Linked DNA regions of Pelodiscus sinensis. The protein of the gene in region 1 purifies or fractionates together with the protein of each later gene. This does not show direct contact. Links are inferred from orthologs where the notes say so. Each region holds a gene or a part of one and is shown in the gene's direction. Other genes may lie near its edges.

Region 1 (7,627 bases):
TAAGGATGGGTTCTCTTAGAGAGTGAAAATGACAGAGAATTGTACAGGGGTAACATCATATATTAAAGGGATCGTCAGCCCCCAGCACACATGCCACAAGCATCACACAAGCCCATTTTCACTGGCACATGGGGCAGGAGCTAAGCCCCACTCTTCCCCCCACCCCTCACGCAGTGGGGAGCTTGTACTGTTGCTTCAGCTTTCTGCTGGGGTAGGGAGGTGGGAGAGGCGAACGCGCATCCCTGGGGCTGCCCCTGCCTGGCCTGGGCGTGCAGCTCCCGGGAGCAAAGGGGTTTACCCCCCACCCTGTGCCACAGTTCTGCTTCCTGCTTTGGGAGAGGGTGGGTTTAGGGCCAGCTTGAGCCATTCTTGTGCCCCAGGCAGCGGGCACATGATGCATGCATGGCTCCGCCCCCAGGCGCACGGCGCATGCGCGGTCCCACCCCTCGGCGCACTACACCCCTTACAGCTGCCATCAGGCGCTGCGCACCTGGGGCTGGGGGCCGCATGGTGTCCCTTAGAGCTGCCATCAGGTGCCACGCGGCCCCCAGGCACCTGATGGCAGCTCTAAAGGGCACTGCACGGCCGGGCACGTGGCACCCCTTACAGCTGCCATCAGGCACCCCCCATAGGTTGGCGCCCCGGGGAGCTACCCGGCTAGCCTCCACCCCCCACCTTAATCCGGCCCTGGTGGGGCTGGGCCTGTTCGGCTAGGCAGCCAGACACATGTGGCGCACTGGGGTCTGGGGTGTGCTGCTCTACTCCCTGCAGGCTGTGTGCAGGGGCCGGGAGCCTGTTCCCCAGTGCCCCGGCTGCACCCATCCACACTAGAGCCAGCCCTGGGCAGCCTGGGCTCTCCTTGTCCCAGCCCGAGCTGCAGCCTGCAGGCAAATGACTGGACCAGGCAGGTAAGACACTATGCTCTGCACCCCCCCGCCCCAGCGCTGCTGCCCTGTTGGTGAGTTCACTGGGGGTACAGGGATGTGGGGCAGGATGGGAGGGAGCAGGGATTGCACTGGGGCATGGAGCTGAGGGGAGTGAGGCTGGAGCAGGGGGAAGATGTAAGGGAGGTTACAATTTTACTTTGCAGAAGCTGCACTTTCCTTTACTCCCCACTTGTTTGCCTCCCTCCCCAACTAACTATTTGGCTGCATTCTCACCCACTCACCTTTTCTGGGTTACTTCCCAAGCTTCCTCTTGTTCTCCCACCCCCGACCCTCTCCTCCACCAAACTCCCTTCCAGACCCTGCCCTTCTCACCCCATCCTGCACCCCACCTTCCGCCCAAATCCTACAACCCTATCCCACTCGCTGGCAGCCCTGTCCTGCACACTGAACCCCTCATTTTTGTTCCCACTTCAGAGCCTAAGGAGGTCCACAAATCCACTATCTGTGAAACCCCAGAAAAGTAAATCTGGCCTATGGGAAACCTCAGTCCTCCTTGTCCCTTCCCTTCACTCCATAGGGCAGGAGCGCCACAGGAGTGGGTTGCCTCAGTTGGGGGCCACATCAGTGAGCATTGGGGGTTTTAGGAGGAGTTCTTTTGCTTCTCACTTGTGTGGTCCCCAAGTGATTTTTTTGTGGGTCAGTGGCCCCTCAACTCAAAAAAGGTTCCCCACCTTGCCATAAATAACAAAAACATTGAAACCTTTTGTGTTGGACATAATATTTTACTGATTTAAAATTAAATTAGATAAACTAACATGAAAAAGTTACAACAATTGGTTTAATAATTTAAATTAAAGCATTCTCCCCAGGTGCAGTACTAGCAAAATGGCACAGGTATAATTATGTAATTAACATGCGTTTCCATTAGCAAGTGGTAGTCTGTGGAAAAGTTTGACTAAGGTGGTCCAGAGGGTGTGCAGAGGAGAGAGCCTCTCCTCCCTGGGGGCAGGAGGGTTAAATCTTGGCACGCCACTTCAGAAAGGTTGCTGACCCCGATATATTCTGTATATGTCACACCTGTTACAGCAAGAGTCTCAAACTCCTGGACTGCAGACCATCTGCAGCATGAGTATTTACCCAATCTCACCTGCAAAATATTTTGAAAAGGTCATTTAATCAGATCTGCATGGCTGCCAGTCCTGGGGACGGGGATGAGGTGTGGACACTCATCTGCACACATGGCTCCCAGCATTGCTCAGGCCCCCAGTTCCCACTTAGTCCCAGCTGCACCGGGCACCCCTCAGTCCCAGAAGCCATGCTGGCTGCCTCTGCTGTGATACAAACCACATTGGCCAGGGAGTCGCCTGAGCTGATGCACTTCTGCAGCCAGTGGGGGGCTGGAGGTGTGAGTTTCACTTTCAGTTACCCTGTGAAAGGGGTCCCCATGCGAGGGAACGGATGTTAGTGGAGTGAAGCTTTGTAGGATCTTGTTCTCTGCCTGGCTCCTGGACACAGGAGGAAGACACTATCATGTACTGTATTGCCAACACCAAGGCTACGTCTACATTGGCATGATCTTGCACAAATACTCTTTAACGCAAGAGTTCTTGCATTAAAAGTATTTGCGCAAGAGAGCGTCTACACTGGCATGTGCCTTTGCACAATATATATGCTTTTGTGCAAGAGCATCCGTGCCAGAGTAGACGCTCTCTTGCGCAAGAAAGCTCCAATGGCCATTTTAACCAAGGGAAATAACTCTACAAATAGCTAACTGCACAGTAACTTGCTGCGCTCAGCAAGCGAGGTATTTTTCAAACCTGAGCAAGAAATTTGCAGCACAGTAAAGTGGTAGTGTAGACTGAACACTAGAATTCAGAATAAATAATCTTGGCCTTGTGGAAAACTAGTTCTTATATCTAACCAGAATTCTCTGCACCAGGCTGCACTCAAATTCTGAATGTGCTGTTCAAAGACTGTGCACTTAGCTTGCTGTATGCTTTACCTAGGCATTGAACCCAACCTATACGATATACTAAAAAATTTCACATTATCCCTGGCCAGATTCTAGCTCTTTTCAGTTCCTACGTACTGTATCCTGCAGGGAACACTGCAAAGGCAAGAGGGGGAGAACGGGAGAGATGTCTAGTCCAGCACTTGTTTCACCCAGAGTGAATACACCCCGCTCTCTAATAATCTCAGGATGCATGTCCAACCTATACTATACTGTTCCCAAACTGTCAAATTAAGCACCTACCTAAGTATCACCTTAAACTATGAATCTCTTCTGTTGCACCATATCTATAGTCTCAAGCTCTGTACTTAGGGTTGCCAGATGGTTTCAACAAAAATACTGGACACACTTGACATTACATAACAATCTACATTACATCTTATTTAGAAAATACAGTAATTCCTCATTTAACACTATAGATATGTTTCAGAAAATGATGTTAAGTGAAAACGTGTTATATGGGGTCAATTTTCCCACTGAAAATAATGGAAAAGGTGGGGTTTGCGTTTCAAGCAGTGGTGTCTGTTGGAACCGGGACATAAGGTTGGGGGAGAAAGGGGACTGGGCTACAGCAGGGAGGGGAGGTGTTTGGCTCTGGGGAAGAGAAGGGCAGGAGAAGGGAGGAGGGATTGGGTTGGGAGTATGCCCCTGTGACGGGTCTGCCAGGACCTGCACTGTGTCCAGCAAGAGGGGGTCGTTTGGGAATAGTACGGCAAGCAGCAAACCCTCCGCCGCTTTGCAAGGACGCGGGGGAAGCCCTAGCAGTCGCCGGCAATGGGCCAGCTGGGGAAATCGTGTTATTCCGGGGACTGTCGTGTAATTCAAAAAACATTCCCCCCAAAAAATTGTGCTATCGCAAAACCGTTAAGCGGGCACGTGTTAAATGAGGAATTACTGTACTGGACATTTATATTTTCTCATTTATATTTTGTCAATTTGTTTCCCCGAACAGAAAGCTCAAATACCGGACTGTCATCAAAACCGGACATCTGGCAACCCTATCTGTAGCCATCTGGCACAAGCTGCTCCCTAACTTGGCACTCAGCCCAGCACGCACTAGTCCTATGGTCTATGCCATTCCAACCCTACAACCAGCCAAGACCAGCCACTAAGGACCAAAATTTGGCACTCTTACTGCCACTAAGTAGCACTTTCCACGTAATCCATCAATTTAAAGATTGAAGGGAGAGCTACAGGGGGAAGGCTGGGCCTGGTGGCAGAATCCAGCTCTTGGGCTCCGCACTCACGCTAGCCCAGCCATGGACCTACCAAAAATCACCTGTTGACTTCACACCATGTTGCTCCCAGCCTGGTGCCTTTGGCTCTGCGTTTTCCTGCCTTTCCCCTCCCCATGTGCACACTCTGGAACTGCCCTAGCCCTGCCTTGTGCTCCCCTCTTCCCTCACATGCAGTGTGCCTTGGCCTTGCCTTGTGCCCCCCCCCTTCAGTGTGCCCTGGCCCTGCCATGGGTCCTCCTCTTCCCTCCCCCATGAAGTGTACCCTGACCCCGCCCATGCAGCGTACTCTGGCCCTGCCGTGGTCCCCCCGCCCCGCGCGCTCCCCCTTCTCTCTTGCCCGCTGCACCTTGGCCCCGCCCTGCGCCCTTTAGTCCTGCGGCCGCGCCGCGCCGTTCTCGCCGCCCGGCTGGGGAGAGACGTCAGCCGCAGCCTCTCTCTGGGCCCTTCCGTGCTGCATCATCCCGCCTCCTTCCCCGCCCCCTGGTCCCTGCGCGGGGAGCTTGTGCCAGCCGGGAGCCTCCTCGCCGCGCAGCCGCCGCCTGACGCCCCCGCCCCGCCTAGAGGCGCCGCCGCTGCCGCTCCCCTCCCGCCCGCCGGTTGCCCGCGGCTCGGGGGTTATTAAAGCGCCGGGCGCGTCCCCGCCGCCCCCCCTTCCCAGTGCCGCCGCCGCCGAGGAACATGGCGAAAGTGGAGCAGGTCTTGAGCCTGGAACCGCAGCACGAGCTCAAATTCAAAGGTGAGGGGCGGCCGCGGGGCTCGGCGGCCGCTGCCCAGGGCTGGGCTCCAGCGGCAGCCATTTTCCGGGGGCTGGCGCTCGGCTCCAGCGGCTCAAGGGCCCTTCGTAGGCCGTGCCGGCCCCCCACGCTCCTTCGGGGGCCGGGCGGTGCCCGCTGAGGCTCGCGTCCCTAGGCCTGCCCGCCCCCGGCGCTCTGCTGCGGCCTCGCCTGGAGCCCCTCCAGTACGAGAGACCCCGAGGGGGGGAGGGGAGTCAGGGTGTGAAATGCTGCTTGTCCTGGTGAGCCGTGTGCGCGCGTGTCACACACCAGCCGTGTGTTGTGGTGTAGGCAGAACCCTCCCGCTTCAGATTTCTCCTCATCCCCCGCCCACTGCGAGCGAAGGCAGCGCTACATGGATATAATCTGACCTTCCACGTCGCCTCGGTGTTATCATTAGTGCAGGATGAGAAACAGCCCTTCTGTCGTCTTCTGTATAGGGTTGCTTTCTGCCTTGAGTTTGTCTCATGATGGGTGTAATCCTGTGTGTGTGTGTGTGTGTGAGTGTGTGTGTGTGTATATATATATATATATATGGCGTCTCTTATGTGATCTGTACCCTGACATGCTCCTACTGGTAAAATAATCTGATTGTGGGTTTAATTACTAGCTCCAGCTGCTGTGATTTCTTTTTTTAGAGATGTAGTCAAAGAAAAAGAAAAATATTTTCAGCAGAGATGGTTGCTACCACCTGGCATGTGTGGATGGGCTTTGTGGCTCCTATTTCCTGGAGCCGTTTTAGAGCCATCTGAAAGCTGTCTGAATTGCATATCCTGGAACATGTGGAATAGGTTTCCGTTTGTGTTTTAAAGAACTGAGACTTCTGACCTTGTTTCTGACAATACTTTTGTTTGTTTTTCTTTTCATTATTTCTTAAACTTCTAAGACAAACGCTATTCTAATAATCTGTTTACAGGAGAGTTCTCCTTTAAAATAAGATCCTGAACAGGTTAATTTGCTCTTAATTTATTATGTTACAACTTGATGGACTAGACTGTTGTAACACAATCTGAGATTACATATCAACATCAATAAGTTTGCATATAATAATAATAAAAGTAAAAATATCTCCTCTTACAAAAATGTAACACTGATATTTAGCAAATGCTCTTCTAAACTTCAAAGTAGAGATCATTTGATGTTAAAATATTAATTTCATCTTTACTGATAGCTGCAGCTTAGCTATAAACATGTGGCTAAGATAACATCCCTATATATATTTTTGATCATCAATAAATTTCAGAAATAATATGGTAAATAGTTACTAAAAAGAACAAAAACATAGCAGTAAATATGGTGTGGAATGAATATGCAATTATTTTGTTGGAAATTAACTGCATATTGCTGGGGCAAAAGTAATGCATTAAAATTTAGATGCAAACTATTGGGATGGAGCAATGACAGAAACTCTACTGAGATGGAGAGATGATTAGTTGTTGATCATACTCCAAGATTCAGGGTTAAATTGTCAGCAAAATTTTCAGCTACTCAATAGATTTTTTTTTTAAGCCATATTATGACAGGGGAAAGTGTCATGCAAATCTCAAGTGACAGTCTTTAGTTAAGTGGGTTAGTTATTAAATGTGTGCTTAACATCTAAAATAAACCAAGATTTATCATAAGGTCTTTGGTATGCAAAGATTAAATTATTAGTAATTGATTTTAGCCCCCAAAAAAACAAAACCCAACAATGGTACTGTAGTGCCTTAGAGACTAACAAAAATATATAAATAGTATCATGCACTTTTGTGGGCCCAACTCACCTCTTCAGATGACAAATATTATGAAACGGGGCACAGATTTTGAAATATAAAACAGAAAAAGTGGGGAGAAGAGGAGGAGAAAGAAAGAAAAAACCTTTCAAAGTGTCTGTTCTAAATGAGGCTCATAGAGTAGGCCAGTTTCTCTAGAGAAAATGCAAATGAAAGATTTGTTCACAAAAATCATATTTGAAGTAATCAGGAAGTATAATGTGCTCTTTTCACTTTTTTCAGTTAGATACTTCAACTTTAGAAGGGATATCTTGCACGGTATTAGTATATAAGAATTGCTGAGAGATTTCAATAATCAAAGACACTCCACTCCCTTCCTTTTTCTTGTTGTGTGCTGTCAAGGTGTTTTTCACTGAAAGATCTCGGAGAACTTTGTAGACATGCTGATATTGGAGAAGCTGTATTGGGTTCTAAGTTTCATAACATGAATAAAGACCCCCACACTGAAATGCAGTCAATTTAGAGTTGAAAACATAGTCAAATCTCCAGCTCTAAAATTATTATACCATTCTGTTACTTACAAAGGCTATAAAGATGATTATCACTTTGAAGAATAAACCACCAGAGGTGGAGGAATGCTGAACTGTAATATGGTATTGAGAGAAAGTCTTCCTTGGCATAGACTAGAGAGGAGTTACTGCCAGCTTCTCATTTTTGGGTTGTCTAAAAGTATACATTATAAAGATTTCTTTGTTTTTGAAAAAGCTCTTGTACTTCTATTGTTTGCATTAGATCTCTGAAATTTAGCTGGGGCACTGGGCCTTTTTATTTATCCTAGGCATGCTATTCAGGTGTTGCTAAAATCTGATCTTTTCGGGGGGAGGGAGAGGACTCGCTATTCTTTTCCCCTCACTTTCTGTAATAGAATATGAACCTTCTAAAGCCAAGCACATGCCACTACTGGCCAGCATCAACAGAAGAACCAAGCTGGCATCTTCGCTAGAGA
Region 2 (6,911 bases), on another chromosome or scaffold:
CCGGCCATGCTCCCGGGGCTGGCACCTGCCACATGCCCGGGGGCGGGGCCAGCCCAGATTGCTCCGCGGGCACACATAAATGGCCCGGCGGGTGCCATGGCGCCCACGGGCACTACGTTGGGGACCACTGCTCTATTGTAATTAACTCACTGCGTACTATTATGCTAAAACATATTCTATGTGTTTTTTTAACTTTGTATGTTCTCTGTGTTAAATACATGAAATGTAGTGCATAGATGAGCACAGAGTTCGCAGGAGTACTCATACAGTGTGAAGAGTAATACTTAAAGTGCAAGGTTAACACAGAGAATGTGTTTGTTTAAAGCAAAATGAGAATGTAGTAGAATAAAATAACACAATGTATCAGTTAACATAAATATTCACACTGTCCTTGCCAGTAAAAAAATTAACCATAGAGAGGGGTGATTTTACACCATCACCACTTGTTTTCCACTGTTTGCATGTAAATCTGTGCCCTGACTGGGTGACTCTATATACTGTTATATCATGTGCTGTGATAATTTATCCACTGTGTGTGAACATTTATATTAACGTGTGGTGTGCGCATGTGCACACATGAGGGTAGTGTATTAGCTATTCTGTTCTTGGTTATTTCAAGCAGAAAGGAAGGATAGTTCAATGGTTGGGCTCTGGCTTTGGACACTTGGGTTGAATTCTCTGCTCTGCCACAGACTTGCTGTGTGAGTTGGGCAAGTCATTTAATCTCCCCGTGCTCCAGTTTCCAATCTGGAAAGCAAAGCTAATAGTACTTTTCTACTTCACGGAGGACTTGTGCACAGATAAATACTTAAGCGATATAAATACATCTGTGCCCCCCTCAATTGGGTTGCTCTGCATAATTATTTGTACTTCTAACTGAAATTGGATATTGTTTCATTTATTTTATAAAAGTACATATAACTTCTATTAATTAGGATAAGTTGACTGGGGTACAAGCTGTTGACCGGTACAGCTTAATTAGTCTAAGATAACTGAGGTTGAGGGTTGGGCTGACTGACTGGTGGGGATGATTAAGAGAGGACATGACAATAAATTAGCAGTAAACTTCTGAAAGGATCTTGTAGATAGAAGATTCAAGTTGGGTTAAGAGAAGGAGGTAGCTTTGGAGGAAGACCTTGTGAGAGGCAATATGAAGTTGCCAGAAGGGGACTCATGGTTCTGCTCAGCACAGAGGGCTGGACTACATGATGTCTTGAGTCCTTTTCAGACCTATATTGCTATGGGCTTGTTTCCAAGACTGGGTGGATTGCTAAATCGACTGCTGGTCACGCTCCCATTTACTCTGGCACTCTACGGGAATGAGGCGAGTAAGGGGAGTCAATAGGAGAGTTTCTCCCATCAATAGTAAGTAGATGTAAGCTATGTCTACTTGAGTTACTACTAATGTAACTTAAACTGCATAGCTTAGATCAACTTGTCCACAGAGTGTAGACCTGCCCTAAATAAAGCCCTTTGCTGAAAGCAGGATGGCCAAGGGCGCAGGGGCTTGGATGATGCCAACAAGGAACATCATAAATGGACAGGAGGATGACCTCAATAGGGGCAGGAGGTGAGGCAACTGGTAGCCAACAAAGGAAGCCTAGTTATCCTCTCTACCTGCCCAACTCAAATTTAAAATAAAATATCTTCTTTCTCCACCACCGGTTGCTCTGTCATGTCTCATTCAGTGGTAGGGAGTTTTCCTCAACACCAAAAGAGACTTAATCTACACAGGGCCTGGCCCAGGAGGTAAGCAGTCTTCAGGTCCATAACTTAAGGCACAGCCCATGCTCACTTTACCCACTCGCTTCTCACATGATGCATCCAAGAGGAGTTTGAATAAGCCAGCACAGAACTCTAGCACCATGTCTACCTATGGGGGCCTCCTGCAGCCACATGTTATACAGCCTCTCAGAACTGGCCCAGACTTTACATGCTGATGTATGGTTGATGCAGTGTTTCACACAGCATTACCCACCACTGTACACTCAGACACAAAATATGACAGCCAGAGAGGAGTGCACAACATTGTATATTCCATGTTGATGCATGATTGCATTCTGTTGTTTTTTCACACGATCTGTCTAGCTTCACCTTTGCTGTAGCTTCTGAGTGGCTCATTTTTATTAATGAACATATTTTCTCTTTCACAACACCTAAGAGATAGGGAAAGATTACTGACCCCATTTACAGATGGGAAACTAAGGCATAGGAAGATTAAGTACTTTGCCCAACATCACATAGGGATTCTGTGACACAAGCAGGCATTGTACTCAGAACTCCTGTACCTGAAATACAAGGCCACTCCCACGGCAGGATTATCACTTGTTTTCATGTACTATGCACTCAGGACAGTGTACCCTGTACTATGCACTTGTGCTGATGCGGAACACTATCTGTTACACATTGATTGCTGTGTACAGTGTGTGTGTTGTGGATAGCCTGGTAGCTCTGGTGATTCGATCATCTCTCGTTATTTGTCCCCCCTCTCCTCGCCCTTTTCAGGTCCCTGCTCTTGACATGAAGAGACTGCTTGTTATTTGTATAGTTGTAACACCTAGGAGTCCAGTGGTGGAGCAAAACCCCAGGGTGCTCGGTGCTGTACTAATATAAAACAAAAAGAGAATCTCAACTGTCATTTCTTTTTAAATAAAAATGTGCTCATGGTTGTTGTATAGAAAAGGTTGACAACATGATCTAAGTGCACCCTATAACCTCAGAAACAAAAGCCAAAGTTATAATTGAAAACATCCCATTGAGTTAAAGCCAATCTCATGAATTTCGGAGGAGTGACAATATTTGACTCACGATTTCTTGAATGTTTGGAGATGGTAATACTACTTGGCTGTGTCTAGACTGGCCAGTTTTTCCAAAAAATCAGCCGCTTTTCCGAAAAAACTTGCCAGCTGTCTACACTGGTCGCTTGAATTTCCGCAAAAGCACTGACGATCTCATGTAAGATTGTCAGTGTTCTTGTGGAAATACTATGCTGCTCCCGTTCGGGCAAAAGTCCCTTTTGCGCAAAACTTTTGCGCAAAAGGGCCAGTGTAGACAGCTGAGATTTGTTTTCCGCAAAAAAGCCCCGATCACGAAAATGGCGATCGGGGCTTTTTTTGCGGAAAAGCGCATCTAGATTGGCACGGACGCTTTTCTGCAAAAAGTGCTTTTGCGGAAAAGCGTCCATGCCAATCTAGGCGCTCTGTTCCGAAAATGTTTTTAACGGAAAACTTTTCCGTTAAAAGCATTTCCGGAAAATCATGCCAGTCTAGACGTAGCCCTTATGTATATGTGCGTGGTGTACTCTTCTCCATGTGTTACATGTTGCCTTGTGGCAGATATTCTGAGTGGTGTGCACTCCTCACTGACTGTCATGTTCTGAGTGTACTATGGTGGGCAGTGTTGTGTGAAACACTGCATATTATGCACTCCTCCTGGCTTTTCTGCATGGTATACAGACGTTGTGTATTGCACACTATGTTGTGCTGTCCTTTCTGACTGTGGCGGTGTGTGTGTTACTGTGTATTACAAACTGTGCCAGGTAGGGATGTAAAATCCCCATTAATTGGTTAACCAGTTAAATGTAATGTTAGGGGGAGGGCAGAGAGGCCCGAGACCTATTGGTGGGGAGCCCGGCAGGGCTGGAGCAGCCCCCTGCCCAGGGCGAGTGGGCAGCTGTTCCAGCCCCAACCAGTTAACCAGAACAGGTAAGCATCAGCAATTAAAGGTGATGCTTACCAGTTAGCTGGTTAACCATTTCATGTTGTGTGTGTGGCTGTTAGCGTTGTGTGTGTGTTGGGGTGTACTGAATTGTACACCATGCTGAGCACTCCTCCTCCCCGGCTGTAACACTGTGTGCGCGTGTTGTGTGTTACACCCCGAGTTGTGCTCTCCCAGGCCTGGCGCGGGCTCTCCCCACAGGCCGGGCCAGCAGCCTCCCAAGCGGGCGCCAGGCAGGGCGGGGAGCGGGGGAGCTTCCCGCACCTCTCGGGGCTGGGGGCGGGTCTGCGGCCGCCGCCCCAGCTGGCTCTGGTGGTAACTGGCGGCGGGGGCGGGCTCGGCGGCTCTCCCCACTGGCCCGGCCCGGCCCTCGCGCGTGAGTCAGGCATTTCCCGGGGACTCGCAGCAGCAGCAGCGCGGCCGGGCGGGCTCGGACCCTGCCCCGCGGGCTCCATGGAGAAGGCGGCGCAGGGCGGCAGCAGCGGTGCGGATGGAGGCGGCAGCAACAGCAACAGCAGCAGCCGGAGCAGCAGCCGGCCCACGTCGGCGGGCTCGTCTCCCTGCTCCGCGGGCCGCGGGCTGCCGGGCCGGCCGGCGGCGGGGCGGCTGGAAGGCGGCGGGAGCAGCAGCAGCCCGGGCTCGGCAGCCGTGAGCCCGGGAGGAGGCGGAACGGGGCCGGCGCTGGGCAGCGGCTGCAGGAGGGAGCAGACGCTGGAGGGAGCGCTCAGCAAATACACCAACCTCCTGCAGGGCTGGCAGAGCAGGTAAGCCCGGCCCCGCGCGCGCCCTGGCCGCCCCAGCGCTCTGCGGGGCACGTGCCCCCTTCGCTGGCTGCCAGCCTCATTCCCCGGGTAGCCGGCGCTCCCACGCGCTGGTCCCCACGAGATGCTGCTCTGCGCAGCTGCTCGGGGTCCCCAGGCCAGTTAGGCCGGTCGTGGGCTGTGTGTGCAGCAGCCCAGCCACTTATTGTGGGGCAAACGCCTCTCGCTTTCAATGGGGCCTCATTATTTTCATTACTCTATCCATTTTATGGATCGTGCCCCTGGGCTGGTACATCTTCATGGTAGCAGTTTTGCAAGAGGGGTTTGATAGGGAGCCTGGTCTTTGAAGATATAATGTAAACATGTTTATGATACATGTTGTTTAGGGTTGCTCGGGAAGTTAGAGGGATGGAAGGAACAACTTTTTTGTGAATAGAGTGCTTGACATGTTTGATTCATCCTCCCTGTTCCCAATCTTCTTATTACTATACAACATCTTACTATCTATTTCGCCACCATATTACTTTTGACTTCCTTGTTCTGCAAAACTTAAAAAAAAATACAGAATAAAATATCCTGCCCCAGTGAAGAAACTAGCATTAAGTAGTAAATAGAAAAGTATTATTTTCTGGGGAGGTCATTTTACTGAAGGGGGCAATGGGACAATTCATAGGAAAAAATAAAAGTTTTAAGTTCATTATGACCTGATTTGACTTTTAGTTATGGACACCGAGATGAAGGTCCTAATCTTGCATTTCAGTGGGTATGGACAGATTGCTATGCAGGCACTGGGAATCTGCTGGTACTCAACATAGAACAAAATCAGGGCCTATATTGTTACAATGGGTTTGTGGAATTAATAGTGCTGTACGGGGTCTGTAGTTATGGAACTAGGAAGAGGAGATCTTCTATTATTATTATTATTTCACTTTTGGTTATCAAACTTCATTCTCTTCCTCTTGTTTTAAATTGCTAGATTTCTGTGCTTATGAAAGATTTTAGATTGGCAGCTGTGGATAGTGAGGATTTCTACCTATAGAACAGGGTAAACTTCTGTTCAGGACCTTTGTATCAGGCAACAATTTTCTATTATTGCTGACCTCGAGATGCCTAGCTAGTGGTAACAGAAGTGGAAGAAATAGTGCAGTTAAATGTTTCACAGTTTTAAAACTGTGTCAATTAGATGTGCTGTAAACAGAGTTAAATGAGATAGTAAAAAATGCTAATGTCTATGGTAGCATTATCATGTCCAGAGCTCCCAAAGATGCTGTCACTTATGGAGCTGAATCAGAGGTGCAAATGACAGGAAACTCTTTCCCTCTGTTCCTCTTCCAAACTGCCATTGTAGACTTAGTTATAACACTCCTCATCTCCAGGCTGCAGTGTGTGCATTGGTTCCCTTTTTACTATTGATTTGTTTAGAAAGTATTAATAGGTTTACAAATTCTTGCCATGTAAATATCAGAAACACAGGAATAATCATTACAACAGAGATCTTCTGTTTAAAGAGAGACATGGAAATATAGTGATCAGATCTCTGTTTAACAGGATATCACCATACTTCAGACTGAGCATCATGTTGTTTCTTGTGATTTTATTAAATTGTGTGAAATCTCTGATTACACATATTTAACAGATAGGCATGTTTACCAAATATTAATATTAAAAAAAATCAGACAGGTACACTGAGGTTTTTTGTGTGGGTAAATGTACTTTGAGTATTGAATAGAAGGTAATAAAATATCTAAGTAACTGTTTGTCCTCTGCTGGGTGCATTATTGGTGTGTTAATTTTTTCCATAACAGCCATCTCCCAGATTTTTTTTAACTTTTTCTCTGTGGATCTACAATTTTTTTCTTTTCCTATGAGAGATTATTAAACAAACAAATGAAAGATTAATAGCAGGGATGTTAAATGTCAATTAGGGCTGTCAATTGACCTGTATTAACACCTGCGATTAATGCAGGACAGGATGAATGCATTAATTTTTTTAAGGCGTTAATTGCAGGTGTTAATGCTGCGCTGCCCTTTTGAAGTGCTGTTCCGGCGCTTCAAAGGGGCAGCCCAAGCAGAGCCGGGGATCAGCTGGAGTCCCCAGCTGATCCCCGGCTCTGCTGTTGCAAAGCCCCTTTGAAGCACCAGAGCTGCATTTCAAAGGGGCTTTGCAGTATGGAGCCGGGGATCAGCTGGAGTCCACAGATTCCAAGCATCTAATGCGCTGCCCCATGGAAATGCTGCCACGGTGCTTCCAAGGGGCAGCGCTTTATGCAGCATTGCCCCGTTGAAATGCTGCCATGGCATTTCAAAGGGGAAGTGCACGCGATTAATTGCGTGATTAATCGTGATTACATTTTTTAAATAGCTTGACAGCCCTAATATCGATTAATTGAATAATCGATTAACCTCATGAGTTCTTATCGGTTAGTTGACTAG
Region 3 (6,918 bases), on another chromosome or scaffold:
TCGTCCTGCTCACTAGCATTAGAGATCCACTTAAGCCCTGACGCACAAGCTTCAATATCCATTTCGGAATTATTGCTGTCATTTAAATTATAGCCTTGAATTGTCTTTCTCCCTGTGAATGGCCAGTCTAGTCTTGCCCTCAACTTTGTGGTGGTGAGTTCCGTGGGCTAATGGTAAAGTGTTTCCTCTTACTGGTTTTGAATTCCCCACCTTTTAATTCTATTTGAGTGTCCCCTGCTTCTTGTGGAATGAGACAGGAAGGAGAGAAGCTCCTCATCTCTCTTCTTCATCCCAGCTATTATTTTCCAGATTAAATGGTGGCCCTCTTATTGGGTTCCTTGGTAAGGGAAATAGTCCTCTCCGTCTGTCCTCATAGGAGAGTTTGTCCCAGGTCTAGATTGTTCTTATTGCCCTACTCTGAACGTTCTCATTTTGCACTATTCCTCTTTGATCAGGGGTGACTAGCACTGCAGCCGTTATTTCCGATCATGCTAGAATTTAATGGGTTGATGAAGTTTAGCAGCTGGAAACAAGGACTTGGCACCATGTTACTAGCAATTGCTGAGGTATCTGCGTCTGTTGATCCTACTTTGGACACTGGCAACCTGCAGTTACTTCAGTACCAGAAGTGAAACTCACTAGAATCTGAGTGAAATTGACCAGCTGTATTGGGTCTTCCCCCTTCCTCCCTGCATTTGTTCATGCTGAGATACCTGAAAAGGGATTAAGTGCAGTGGACTTTATGTTGAAAATAAGCTTTACAGTTAATAAGCCCAGGTGCTGGTAACATAAGAAGCAATTTTTATTGTCCTCTTTTTAAGCTGATAATGTCTCTCTAAATCCTCAAGCTACCTGGTTTTCTACTGAATTTTCTTTTAAATTCATGCGAAATTGCTCTCCGCACTAGGTTTTTAAGGAATCCTTTTGGTTTAAAATATACGTGTATATCATTTTGGGACTGAAAATGAGTGCAGTCCTCTTTTCATCAGCACCATTTTTATTATCTGAGCCTCACGGCGGGTTTCCCTTATTCCTTCTGGTTATTCCTTACCGGGTGAGGAATTAAATGGGTTTGTATTATGTGCTGCTGTAATGCCCATAATGACCTAAACTGAGGTCAAAGACCTGCATTGTGCTGGATGCTGCGCACACACCTAAAACAAGTCCGCTTCTGCCCTAAAGCGTTTTGAATCTAAATAGTCAGGGGAAGGATTCGTACCCCCATGTTACAGACAGGCAGCTGAGCTGAAATGACTGATCCAAGGTTGCATGAAGTCAAGGTCCAAACTCAGCATTGAATCCAAATCTGCCTTTACCACAGGCCATCTTGCCTAACTCCCAAAGCCAGAGACCACTGGGCTCATGTCAGGGTGTGGTCTGTGGACCCCTGGGGCTCTGCAGACCCTGTCTCTCCAAGGGATCTGCACCTCCCTTCGACATTTTTAGGGGTCCACAAATGAGAAAGGTTGAGAACCACCAATACAGGGTGACCTCCAGCATGGCACAACTGTAGGACTGGCCTGAATTAATTCCTGATTGAATTAGAGCACAAAAGTAGCCATGTTTGAGTTGAAGGCTGCCTGTGCTAGAGAATCTGCCTCAGCCCTTGGTCAGTTGTTCCAATGGTTAATTACTCACTGTTGATCTTCTGCTTGTGCATGACAGACCTGCTGTAACTTAGAGTGGAGTTTCCTGCAAAGAGCCTGGCTCCATGCAGGGCAGCTTGCCTGCTAGGCCAGTGTGAACCTGTTAATTGTGCTGTCCCCCCAGTTGTGCCTCCTTGTGTTCAGGCGAGAGCCACTCAGACGCTTCCCCGATGCACCCACTTCTGGGACGGAGCAGGGATTCCTCTGCTGAAATGAATGACTGATAAGCTTCAGGCTGCCAGACAGCCCAGCCTCTGGCTCTCCCAGTACCAACCCAGGCTCTTACTGGTGCTGCACCATGCGGCTGGTCGCCATGGGGGTCACCATCTGTGGCTGGGCCATGATGCTCCGATTGCTGAGTAGGGCAAAATGCCATCTGCTGGGTCCGTGTGTCCCTGCTGCTGCTGCTCATTGCTGGCTGGAGGGAGCTGATTTTTACCGAGCACGCTGGAATATTTTAAACCTTCCCTGCTGACCCTGCGGGACTCGCTGCCTGAGATGGCAGAAAATTCCCCTGGTCCTGCCAAAGCTGCACCTGCGCAAGGCTAACCCTTTGGGCACCGCTCTCGCCCGCCTGTCTGACTGGCATGTGGGCTGGCAGCCCCTCGGAAATGCCGACTCAGCCACATGTCAGTGACACCCCTTCCCCCGCTGCACTGAGACGCGGTTCTGACCCAAACAGCTCGCGTGGCCCCGGTTACGTAACCTAATGGGATCCCTTTCAGATCCGGAGGAAGGGCAAAGAGAGCCTGCTCCAGTCCCTCCCACGGAGTGTCTCGAACCTCTTGGCTGCCTCTTGTAGGCCTGATGGTGACTGGGGGGCTCCAGCGCAGGGCCTGGATGGGAGGGGCTGTCTCAAGATCCACCGCCAGGGTGCTGAGCGCACGGCAGCAGGCAGAGACCTTTCAACCCAGCTGTTCAGCTGAGCCGCTCTTGGTGGCTGGTCAGTGCCAGGGCTCCTGTTGAGCCAGGCGCGGCTCAGGAAGCAGATCCTGGTGCACGCGGCAGTAGCGCTGGACTTGGCTGGCCCCCTGGCTGGCTATCGGTGGAGGCCGGAGGCCACGTGAGCCACAGGGCTCGGATTCTCAGCCCTCCGACTGTGGCCCTGCTCAGACCAGCTGCAACATGAAATGGGTTTGGCAGGTGTCAGTCCAGTTCCCGGAGGGAGAGGCCTCCCCCTACCAAAGCCATGTGGGAACTGTGTGTGAGTCTCCTCCTGCCCCCGTTTCCCCCGCCACAGTCCCGGGAGTGTAAGGCCTGAAGGGGGAGCTTGAATGGGAGCCCAGAAGGTCCCGCCTTTCACCAGCCCCTCTGTCCAAAGGGGCCTATAGCAGCTAACTTTGCCCTTCCTCTTACTCAGTGAGGGGGGACTGGGCTGGGATGTGCTGAGAACAGGGCCTCTGGGAGTCGGGACTCCTGGGTTCTGTTCTTGGCTTGGGAGGCAGCACGGTCTAATGGTGAGGAGCCCAGGAGTCCTGTCTAGGATGATTCTGTGGTAGGAAGTAGGGATGTGAATGGTTTACTAATTGGTTAACCTTAGCGGGTGATGTTTGCTGGTTACAGTTAACTGGTGGGGGCTGGAGCAGCCCCCCACTTGCCATGGGCAGAGATCTGCTCCAGCCCCACGGGGCCTACTGCAAGTGGGGGTTGCTCCAGCCCCGCTGGAACAGCCCCTTCCCATGGGGGAAGGGGTACTGCAGCCCACCCGCAAGGGGAGGGTACTCCAGTCCAGCTGGGTTGGAGCGCCTCCTGCTCACCCTGGTTTAATCAATGAACTGATTAAAACGGTTTAATCAATGAACCGTTTAACCCATTAAATAATTGAAACAGGATTTTACATCCCTCGGCGGGAGGGCCCTCCCTCTGGGGACTGGACTGAGACCTGCCAAGTTAACTTCACATTGGACTGGGTTTGAGCTGATGCTCTAGAGATGCTGTAGATTCCCCTCCCTCCTTCCCACCCACTCCCCCTGAGAGTGGGATGCTCCGGGCTGCCAGGCCAGGTTCCCTGGGATCCCAACCTCCTGTCCTGCCACTGGAGCCCGGGGGCCAGTTCCCTGAGGAGAGCTGGTTGCTGAGAGAGCAGCTGAGAGCAGATGTGGAGCAGGGAGCTGATGCCTTTAAGGGCCTCGTGTGAACCTGGCGGCGTGCCCAGCCCTGGATCTCCCTCCCCCTTTGAGGCTGCTCCCTTGGGGCGCTTTCTGAAACAATACCTAGCGCGCGCCTCACTGGGGCAGGCTGATCCCTGAGCCTAGGAAGCGACAGGAGTGAAGCAGGCTGCTCCCTACCCTGCTCCCGGTTCTTCTCCCCGGGAGAGCCCGTTCCTGCTCTGCAAAGGGTCCTGGAGGCCTGCTTGGAAGCTGGGCAGCCATGGGGGAGCCCGCTGTGGCGTAGAGAAGCAGGGCAGCCTCCGGCAGGATCCCGGCTGCCAGGAGCCGAGGTCTGCGTCATCGGGGCGGCAGCATGGAGCTCAGACCTGGCGACCTCCGTGGAATCGAGGAGGGCTCAGATTTCGACTTCCAGTTCTGGATCCAGCTCTTCCTCTGGGTGCACTTGTTTGGCCGGCTGGTCTATTACCTCCTCCGCACCTTTGGGGGGCTGACGCAGTAGCCCCCTCGCCCCTTGTGCCCAGGGTGAGCAGCTTCCTTTCCAGATTGCCCCCTGCCTCCGGTCTCTGCAGCCCCCTGGAAATTGAGACTCACAAGAAAGGGCCTCCTCCTTCCCCATCCCACCCGCTTGCTTTTCCCCCGGAGCTCTATCCGGCTTCTGGCTTCCGCTGGAAGTGGCTTCCCGCTCCCAAGGTCAAGGAGTGCAGGGCTTGTTTGGGAAAGGCAAAGTAAAGAAACCTTCAAGCAACTAGTCCTGAGTCCCTCCCCTGGCGGCGGTCGGTACCGCCTGGGACTGCACGCCATGAGTCAAACCCCGTGGTGCAGCAAGATCTCCTCGCTGGGGTGCAGCCGCAGGGTGCCTGCAAGGGCCGGGGGTTCTGAATGTGGGTCTGTTTGAGCGCTGCTTGGAGAGCTGCCTTGGACGCGCTGCGACCCCCTGCTCTTCGGCGCTATACACGGGGGCTCCAGCAGCTGATTTCAGGACCTGCGTGCCTCTGACTCAGGCCTCATGTGAGCTGCAAGCCCAGCCCTGTTTCCTTTGCAGCCCGGGGCACTGTACCCGTAGGACAGTGTGTTTGGCAAGGATCCGCTCCCCCGCACACACAGGATCGGCAGTGAAGCAAGAGGGAGCCTCGCGCGCTGCTTTCGGCCCAAGGATCTGAGAGGAGCAGAGACCCACGGGTCTGCTTTAAGCCTCTCTGGGTGGATTTGCCCCTTGCCACCGGCCATTGTTCTGGCAAACCCGTCCATTCAGTTCTGGAGCAGAACCCGTCTTCCCCTTGCTCTCCAGGAAGTGAAACTGACTTGGCTGGCTGCGTAAGTGACCAGACTCCCCTATCCTGTGCCCTCTGCCAGGGAAGCCCACGCTCGGGACCAAGGTGAAGCCATTTCGAGTCCCTGGGTCCTCGCCACCTGGAGCAAGTGCAGGGAGGAGTCGTATGGAAGTGGCCTGCCCGCCTCTGCGTTGACAGCCAGGCTCTGAGGCTGCTGCAGGGCAGGGGAGCTTTTGGATGGAGAGTCTCTCCCCCGGGTAGAAGTCAAGAGCAGTCGGCTCAAGCCCCCATCTCTGTTGGGAGTGGACGAGTTTTGCTGGGGCTTGGGGCTGCTTCTCCGCTCCCTGACCCTGCTCTCGTCTCTGCTGCTGGGAAATGGCCGAGGCCGGAGGATTCCTGGATTGGGGCCCAACTTCACATCAACTCTGGCTGTGAGAGCTGAGGAGAGAGGGAGATAAATAAATTAAGGGAAACATGAGCCACGGAGGAGAAATGACCTGCCCCAACCCCAGCAGGAACAAAGGGGCTAAGATGTCAGCGCTTCAGAAACTGGAGAGTCTGGCTGGGCGGATTTTCTACTGGGGGCCGCGCAGCGAGGCGGGGGCCCCGGCCGGCAGCGAGGCGGCCCCTGTGTCTCCGCACACGCTCGCCTGGAGTGAGCAGAGTGAGTTGAGATGGAATCCGCAGGGGTAGGACCAGCCGCGGCACAGGGCCCTGTGAGTCGAGCTATCTGGCGGGGGCAGGGGATGCAGACACCATCAAAATGTGTGGGATTTGGGGGGCGGAGTGCGCAGGCCAGAGTCTGGCCTCCCCAGCTCCTCCTGGGAAGGATCCCTGCAGGGCAGCGGCAAGCACGTGAGGCCTTAGGAGCTCTCCGCTCCCGGGGCCTCCTCTTCCCGCCACTCCTGAGCCATGGAGGCCTGGGACAGGTCATGGGCCTGGGACACCCAAGTTCTGATTGTGGGAAGGGCTGAACCCGCCACGTGGCGTGAACTTTTCTCCGTGCCCGGCATCCGCCCCGGGCGCCAGAACCCAGGTGGGTGGCGCTGTGCTCTGATCCGCTGGCTCTAGCTGTTCTGCAAGCAGCAGCGAATCTCTCCCCCCGCACCAGGCTCTCCCTGCAAAGTGGGAGATGAGGTGTGTTTGGTGATGGGGCAGAACCGCCTCACACAGCGGGGGAAGTGACTTGCCTCTGCTTGCGCCAGATGGGGGCAGCGCTGGCCGTAGAATTCAGGAGTCCTGGTTCCCAGTCTTCCATGCTGGCCTAATGGTTAGAGCAGAGGCCTGGGCATCATGGCTCCTGAGTTCTGTCCCCGGCTCTGGGAGGGGTTTGAAGTCTCTGCCTCCTTCTCTTCCTCGAATGCCAGTCCCTGGTGTGTGGCACCTCTCCCTTTCCTCCTCCTATACCGGTGGTGCTGCGGGTCGGCTGCCAGGTACTTGGTCGCTGCATGTGAGGAAGGGGGCACAAGGACTCACTGGCTCCCTTCCTCGGGAGAGTCCTGGCCACTTCCCTGGGACAGACCTATGCCCTCATGTGTCACTTCCTCTCTGACATCCTGTGTCTGTCCTTTTCATCCCCCTCCACTTCCTCCTCCTCATTCCCCCAACCCTGCTTTCATTCCTCCCTCCCCTCAGGACAGATGAGGAGGCCTTTCCAGCCTGGCCCCAGCTGTGGGTGGGTGGGAGGGATTCCCCTGCAGGGAGGGAGGGTGAGGGAGGGGAGGGAGGATACAGGGATGAGCCATCTCTCCCACCGGCAGGCTCCCTGGATGTGCAAACAAGGTTGTAACAATAGTGCCTTGGCAGGGCAGCCAGGATTAAAATAGCCTCTGGCACCTTTAACCCTCTGCTGCCTGGGCCTTCCCAGCGTGGCCTGCAGATCCCGTGGGC
Region 4 (7,765 bases), on another chromosome or scaffold:
ATGTCAGTCTCCTTCAAAATATGGAAGGCTGAATTTAAAAATCCGTGTGATTTGCTTTAGGGATGTAATAGTGTAGTTGATTAACTGATAAGCAAAAGTTTATTGGTCAGTGCTATAGACTGCACATGTTCCCCCCCCCCCCCCTCCAGTAAACTTTTTAGCAGGCTGTCCAGCAATCTGGCTCGCGCCGGGTCCAGGACCTACCCCTACCTTGGCTCCGCATTTGAAGTGCATTAGGAGCCAGGCGGGCAGGCAGCCCGGTTCAGTTCTGGCTCACGACACATCTGGGAGCTCAGCCCTCCCATTCCCTGGACAGGGGTTGCTGCCACCCTGCACTTCTGCCTCTGTCAGGACAGCATGGGCAGCCAGTCTGCAAGGGGAGCTGTTTTTTAAACTGGCTCCCCTCACGGACCAGCTCCTGCCTGGCACCCCAGATATAGAGGCAGCAGCGCAGAGTGGCAGGGGGCGCTTCAGGACTGGGGCTGGAGTGCACTGGCTGCCGGTCCCTCCCCCTGGGACTATAGAATAGTCGAGTAACTGATAAGAATTCATTGTTAATCGACTATTCATTTAACCAATATTTAACATCCCTAACTTGCTTTGGCCATTCACTGGTGGTGTTGCAGCCATGTATGTTATGACATACCTTTACAGCTGGGTTGTTTTTTTTCCAATAGATTTTACCAAGTTTTGGGCTCAGTGAAGGTATAACAATATTTTGTTTTTTATCTAGGGCCTTTTACACCAGCCCATCAAGTTTGTTAGATAGAAACTGACAGGATTTGGAATAGATGCCAGGAGTCTTGACTCCCCGTCCATCCGTCTGTTTTAAGCACTAAACTCCCTCCGTGGGAGTCTGAAATGCAGGTTGCAATTGGCTACAACTCCTTTTGCAATTGTGGGTTGTCGTAATGCCGGCTGGCAGGTGCCAAGGGAATGGTGAACCGTCAGTGTGCTCAGATCAGTGTTTGTTTTGACAGTTGGGAAAAGTCTTTCTGGAGGAGGCTCTCTGTTTCTCTCAGTTGTGTTGCAGTACTGTTAGGTCATTGTTGAAACAGATTCTGGATGGGTGGAAAATAACTATGCAACAGGTCTGTGTTGCAGGCAGTTTCCAATTTTGAGTGATGTTGTCTGGAATTCAGCCATTTTTGTCATTTATTGCTCCATAGCTGCCGGGAGGCTCTTTTGTCAAGGCTGCTTATTTACTCCACTGATGAAAAAGTCCGGGTGCTTGTGAAGCACTTTTAAAATCCTGCTCCACCTATTGCTGTTTGTATTAGGAGGAAACCACTCCTTCAGTTCTGCCCTGTGCTTCCTGAGAGATTAAACATTGTGAGTTTCTGGATCAGCTGTAGAGAATTTGCTGAGGATCACCCCATTGACTTAACTCCAGCCACACACTCTCTGGTGGGTGTCACTGGAAAACTTTCCCACCAAGTTGGGCTGTATTTTTAACTTTTTGAAAAGCTCTCTTCTGGAACACACTGCACTGTGTGGTTTTTTTATGTTTTTTTTTTTTTTTAAACTTTAAATCAAGATGGAGGTCAGCCCAGATACAGCAGTCTGTCACGTGGGCAAGGAGGGAAATAATAGTAAAGGAACAAACAGGAAGTAAGTGTAGTCACAGAAGTACAGTGAAGTCTTGCAATGAGCGCTGAAGAGTCCCAACAGAGAGAATCTCCAGACAAAGCGTCATATATTCACGGGCCTTTTCTTTGGAAGTCCCTGTCCCCAAATTGAGTGGCGCAGGACTTCGGAATGAAGAGCAGAAACCATTTGGTCAGTCTCCAGTGGTCTATAGATATGAAGGACTTGCTCAAATACTTGGGGCCTAGCAGTGTGTTACGTAGATCTTTTTTTTTTTTTTTTCTTCAATTCCTTAATAACTGGTTTGGAGGTATGTTGTCATTCAGAGGTTTCTCCCCTGGTCTCTGTTCTTTCTCCAGTGGAGTGTGTAGAATCTCAGTAGCTGTATGAATATGAGACAGCAATAACCTAAATCTGTGGGCTGATCTCTTCCAGTGATGAGGACTCCACCAGGGCCCCAGGATCTGTTTGTCCGTGACAGTTAGCTCAGCTCAGACAAATGATAATGAGCAGGAACAAACTCCCACTGGCAAATACATTTCATCTTCTAGGGCTGCCCTTCCCCCTCCCTTCTCTTCCATTAGGTAGGGAGATGCTTGCTTTAGATTAAAGCACTTTTACTTATAACCAAGTGACTCCAACTTCCATTTTGCAGTTAGTCTGATTACATTATTCTATTTCAGAAGTCTGAACAGGAAATACAGCAGGGAAATTGCCCTATTGCAGGCTATTCATAAATTAATTAAAATAAATATTTCCTTTCTTCCTTGTCAATACTTTAGTGACTGATTGGTCTGGCTCTTGAACTGTTTGAGTTCCTGTATATGTGGAAATCTGTATTGTTTCAGTAACCTAGTCTATGAAGAATGTGTTTAGCTGTTTGCACATTACAGTGGCACACAACATTCTTCATCCTTTGAAGAGGTTTGATTGTGGGTAGCTTCCCTTGGTTGTGTAATGTGTACCTTTGGCACTCAGGGCAGTGTGGGAATCTGAGAGAGGTTTATTTGCTGGCATTTGGATAATGCCGCCATAGAGTGTCTGAAGAGTTGTGACTTCTAGCAAATGTACAGGTGTGTTTGACCTGCGGGATAGGAGCAGCCAGAGTCCTTGAGTGCTTTTCAGCAGGTTAGCTGAGTTTGTGTTTGGAGTATATGGGGTGGGGGGGAACTCCTATAGTTCACATCATACATGTAATTATCCAATATTAGTTGACAGATTATTTCAGTTATTGATTTAAACTTTGTTCAGTTGTTGAGGATTTGAGGACTGTTCCTCCTTCCAAGCTTAAAATAGGAAATAACTTGCAAAGGGGAGGAGGGAATGCATTTCTCAGCTAGTGAGCAAAGTTTAAAAATACAGATGAATCAGCCATCAGGAACTATTAAACTAAGGGCTTGTCTTCACAGGGAAATTAGCCAGGATAATTATACTGGCATAACTCCCTGTGTGCACACTCTTATTCTGGAATAAGCGTGTCTACAGAGGGAGTTAAAACAGTATAATTAGAGGTAGCACAGTAAAATATGCTAGTAAATTTCCCCATGCAGACAAGCCTCAACACCTCATTCCTCTCCTCTCCTCTGCCCCGCAACCTTGCTGCCTATCCCCCTCCTTGCTTGCTGTAGCATTATTTGTGTGCTAGGCATGTTAACTCTTTGCCACTGCTGTGGCAGAAAAGACTATTGACTATTAGCTTGGGGCAAAGGGGGAACCTTAAGTGTAGAAAACTGTTGTAATCACTGCAGCCTCAGGAGTGATGGAATAATCATATTAGTTCTTCTAATGCATCTGGATCATGATCCTAGACTGTCTACAAGGACTGGGAACTTGAAATGTCAACACTGGTGTGTTGTTCTTGTCCCATCCTGGGAACAAGATGGTGAATACGGCCACTCGTGTCCTTGGGGATGGAATTCTATTTTTAGTAGCTGGGAGCACAAATACAGGTATTGATGTCTTGGGGTGTAGTCTGTGCATTCTGAAGTTGGGAGTGTGAAGCGATGCACTAGTGATCTAACAGGAAGATTGTAATGATGACATTAGTGGAAATATTCCTGTTTATGGAGTCAAAATTCTGGTGCCTCTAAAGTTCTCCTGTATTGATCTGTTGGGGAGATTGGGAAAGGAGGGATTTCATAATAGATTGAGAAAATGTTGTTGTAAAAATCTTATGAGGAAAAAAATCAGACATTGTTTCTTTCTGATAATTGGCCCATAACGAGTGCTTGTCCAAGTTTATTTGCTTTGAAAGCATTTTTATTTATTTGCTGGAGAGCTTCTGATGCTGGCGGGTGCTATACTGAGGTACTGGACCTGAAAACCATGCCATTGTCTGCCTTCCTATCCCCTCTTTATTTGAGACAGGATTTTGGCTGCTGTTTGATAACTTGCTCTTGATGAAAGGGATTGGAGAACAGGGTAAACAGAAATTTTATACGTTCTACAATATTATACATAAATTTGTATAACATGCACTTTAAAATATGGAATACCTCTTTGAAATTGATTAAGGGAAAATATCAAGAAAGGAAATATGACCCCCTTTTTAAGAGGAGCTCTGCATATACCGCTGTCTTGCATCAGAAGCCATCCCAGGCAAGTGATCAAGTCAGCTGTGGTGCAGGAGGCAAATAGTTTTTGCTGTGTGCTTCTATGGCAGGCATGTCCAAAGTCCGGCCCGCGGGCCAATTGCGGCCCGTGTTCCGGTTTAATACGGCCCCCCAGGTAATTTGGCAATATCTATCTTTTATGGCCCCCAACGAATCCATATGTATTGAGATGAATACATTGTAAAATCTCAGTTAATGTCAGTTGGTCTAAATCAGTTATAAATATATTTGGACACAACATGTATACTTGGTGTTATGTTCCTGTTCATATTTTTTGAACTTAAAAGTTGACAGACAACCTTTATTACCAATAATATGTAATGTACTTTACAATGTTCCTGACATATACTTCAGCTTCCTGGATTTTTTTTTCATCTGGCCTTCAGATATGAAAGGCAGAGTGATTTAACACCTGTTTAGATTTGTCATCCATGTGACGAAATGAAAAGTGTGCCGTTTGCAATAAACTTTGCATAAAATAGTTAATTTGCATTTAATGTTAATGGTTCAAAGAATGTCAGGCAAAATGGTCGGCCCTCGCGCATGTTCACTTCATCAAATCTGGCCCTCTTTGAAAAAAGTTTGGACACCCCTGTTCTATGGGCATTGTGTTTTCTGTTGGTTTGTCACTGTCTTCATACAGTGTTTCAGCTCCTTTCTTTTCACTGAGTAATCAACTTCCATTTTTGTACCAAAACTTGAAGATGTTATCGTGGTCCTTAAGAAATCCCCAAGGAGCTGCCCTAAAGCAGCCTGCTGTGTGATTTGTAATCTTAGATGTGGTAGGCTAGTATTCTTGGGCACTTCACCAATTTCCCTCAGATACTCAAATTCTCTGCTTAAAATAATATCTATTAGTAGTAAGTTTTAAGCGCATTTATAGCTTTGACAGTTTCAGCCACAGCATGGGTACAACTTCAAGGTTTCTACTACATGAAAAGAAATGTCTTAGCACTGCAGGTTATGTTCAGTGTTAACACAGGCATGCATAAGAAAGAGACAGATGTAGCTCCATCTTTTAATGACTGGTTCTCTAGACTGTCTTGCAAATCTAATCCTAATAGCTATGTGCTCCTCTCAGTGGAGCTCAGAAGGTGGGTTTTACTGAGTAGAGCTAGTGGATTTGTCTGGTGAATCACTCAGGTGAATGATAAATAGGGTCCTTTTGTGAGTTCACAACTCAATGATGTAGTTTCTTCTCACCCTCCCCACTCACCTTGCAACTTTTCTCACTTTTGGGGTTCTTATTTAGTTCCCTTGTGAGAAGTTATTTCAGCTGTGTAGTGCTGATCCTGCATCTGATTGCTCGTCTCTCATTGTCCTTTTGGCCGTTTGGTGTTGTAGAGATGCTCTTTCATTGCATGTAATGAATCTTGAATCGGAGTCCTCATTGAAACACCTACGTACTCTGGGTTCTACACTAGGACCCTAAATACTGTCTTGAGGATATCTCTCCCGTGTGACCCATCTGGAACCTGGAGACTTCTAAATCTTTGCTTGTAATCCTCTACCCATCTTTACCATTCCGCTGAGACATTCTTCTTGGTTTTCCTCCCTCAGTCTGAACATTCTGAGAGTATTTTCTATATTCAGAGGTATAGCACTTGTCTTCTCTGAGGAGTCCTTGCTAAGGTAACTGTAGTGGGGTGGAATGGCCACCCACTGAGCCGGAGGCGGAGGAACCCCTCTGGGAGCCATTTTGGGCCCAGCCTAGCCCCGCCCCCTCACCTGACCAGAAGTCAAAGGGCGGGACTAGGACTATAAGAAGGCTGCCTGGGAGCTCAGTCAGGGCCCAGCCTCCGAGGGAGCCGGAGGCCGGTCCAGAGCTCCTGTCTGGGGAGGCTAAGACCTGGGCTAGGCCGTCCTCAGCCGCCTCCCTGGAGGCCCGCCAAGGCTTCCCTGCCGGGACTACTGAGGCCTTGCCACGCCAGCCAGCAGAGCAACCCGAGGACCCAGAGGACTGTCCCGAACCACTAGACCGGCTGGACCCCCAATGGGTACTGGAACGCCGGGGCCGGACGAGCCCGCGGGATGCTACAGAGCTCCGACCCCTTGACCCCTGGATTGGGCCGCCTGGACCCTGCTGGGACAACACCGACCTCGACTCCACGACGGGCCTGCCGGAGCTACAGGTACCAGGGAAGGGAGAGACGAGAAGTGGCCCAGGGGGTAGCCGGGCGGGGAGCCGCCCGCGGCCAGCAAGTTATGGGCCGGAGCCCTGCTGAGCCAGGCGCAGCCGCCCGGCTGCATTCAGGGCCCCTGGGCCGGGGTGCAATGAGGTGGGTGGGCCTGCGCCCCCCCTGCCACCCTGAACCGGGTGACAGTCTCCCCCCTCACCGCGGCTGCCGACGCCCTCCCGGGCCTGCTCCGCAACGAGGGGCTCCGACGGGTGTGGGGTTAGCTGGGCCGCCCAACTTGAGGGCCTGGCCTAATAGACTATGTTTGGGGGCCCGCCCTGCTCAAGGGCACGGGTTTACCTACGGTGCGGCTGAGACCGACCGTGCGTCGGGCAGAACCCCTCAAAGGGGCCGGACTAGACTGGGTGCCAGGCCCTGACCTGTGCAATACTAGACTGACTGTGGCCCGGACCTGAAGGAAGGCCGGGAGAGACTCGCCTATTAATTTAAGGCGCAGTAATGCAGGGAGGCAGGCGCATCTCCCGCTGCGCCTGGGGGCTGAGGAGCCGCCTCCTGAGGGCCTACCGGCCTATCACAAACCCATCAGTCCCCCGGAAGGGGAAAGCTTAGAGGCTATGGTTGTCACTGCCAGAGGGCAGTGACCTAAAAGGCGACGTGGCGACGAGAGCCACCCGCTACAGTAACCAAACTAATTTAAAACTGTGAGAGGAGTGATTAGAGAATTTGACGGAGAATTTGGTTCTGTTCCCACTTCAGCCTCTGACTTGAACTGTGATGTTGGGCATGTCGCTTCCCTTCTCTGTACTTCAGTTTCCCAATCTGTGAAGTGGAGCTAGAAACTTACTTTTTAGAAATTGTTTGAGATCCTTTGAAAGGCCAGGAAAGTGTCAAGTAGTAAGCTTTAAACATTATGCTTCTACTTAACTCGCTCTATAAATTGTCTACTGTAAATTTGCTCAGGTTTCTGTTAGGAGGAGGCCTCTATCTTGAATTTCTTCAGCCTGATTGACTAATACTATGTACTACAATGATTTTCAAATGCATAGATTATTGCTAATTTGTTAAGCAAAGCATTGGTTGCTCTTCCTGAAAAGCATGTTGAAAGTGGCTGATCTGCAGAGCCTTATAGCCTAAAAGTTGCTTTCTCCATAGTGTGGATTATGAGTGCAACTTTCTTAAAGGGATATCTTGGGGGCCGTGTGAGGGGATGGCACAGAGGACACATTAGCCCCACATTTCACTCTGCGCTTAAAATGTGCGTAACTGTACAAGTAGCATAAAGGAAGTGACTGAAAGGTGGTGGAACAAGTGTGTTGGATGACAGCTGCAACGCTGACAGCTTTTGTGTGTCTTTACGGTATGAAGCCGTCTTTGGAGGATAGCTCGTTGCAGTGCTTTGAGGTAGGAAGGACAAAGGCATGTAGACAT

What was found.
Region 2: the proteins of VAPB (region 1) and OSBPL10 purify together in Homo sapiens (affinity purification with mass spectrometry; 4 studies listed by BioGRID and IntAct, counting the BioPlex papers as one, with this or other methods). This does not show direct contact. The link is inferred for Pelodiscus sinensis from reciprocal best matches to the Homo sapiens genes VAPB and OSBPL10.
Region 3: the proteins of VAPB (region 1) and PRKACA purify together in Homo sapiens (affinity purification with mass spectrometry; 4 studies listed by BioGRID and IntAct, with this or other methods). This does not show direct contact. The link is inferred for Pelodiscus sinensis from reciprocal best matches to the Homo sapiens genes VAPB and PRKACA.
Region 4: the proteins of VAPB (region 1) and ARHGEF12 purify together in Homo sapiens (affinity purification with mass spectrometry; 3 studies listed by BioGRID and IntAct, counting the BioPlex papers as one, with this or other methods). This does not show direct contact. The link is inferred for Pelodiscus sinensis from reciprocal best matches to the Homo sapiens genes VAPB and ARHGEF12.

Annotation. Positions count from the first base shown.
Region 1 is NC_134728.1:13,200,661-13,208,287, reverse strand, and holds the start of VAPB (vesicle-associated membrane protein-associated protein B/C), read left to right. Parts: upstream 1-4,621; 5' UTR 4,622-4,814; coding exon 4,815-4,872; intron 4,873-7,627. UniProt on the Homo sapiens protein: Endoplasmic reticulum (ER)-anchored protein that mediates the formation of contact sites between the ER and endosomes via interaction with FFAT motif-containing proteins such as STARD3 or WDR44.
Region 2 is NC_134712.1:183,971,896-183,978,806, forward strand, and holds the start of OSBPL10 (oxysterol-binding protein-related protein 10), read left to right. Parts: upstream 1-3,905; 5' UTR 3,906-4,170; coding exon 4,171-4,481; intron 4,482-6,911. UniProt on the Homo sapiens protein: Probable lipid transporter involved in lipid countertransport between the endoplasmic reticulum and the plasma membrane.
Region 3 is NC_134729.1:10,100,201-10,107,118, reverse strand, and holds the start of PRKACA (cAMP-dependent protein kinase catalytic subunit alpha), read left to right. Parts: upstream 1-3,899; 5' UTR 3,900-5,502; coding exon 5,503-5,692; intron 5,693-6,918.
Region 4 is NC_134736.1:4,763,588-4,771,352, reverse strand, and holds the start of ARHGEF12 (rho guanine nucleotide exchange factor 12), read left to right. Parts: upstream 1-4,761; 5' UTR 4,762-6,230; coding exon 6,231-6,331; intron 6,332-7,765. UniProt on the Homo sapiens protein: May play a role in the regulation of RhoA GTPase by guanine nucleotide-binding alpha-12 (GNA12) and alpha-13 (GNA13). Acts as guanine nucleotide exchange factor (GEF) for RhoA GTPase and may act as GTPase-activating protein (GAP) for GNA12 and GNA13.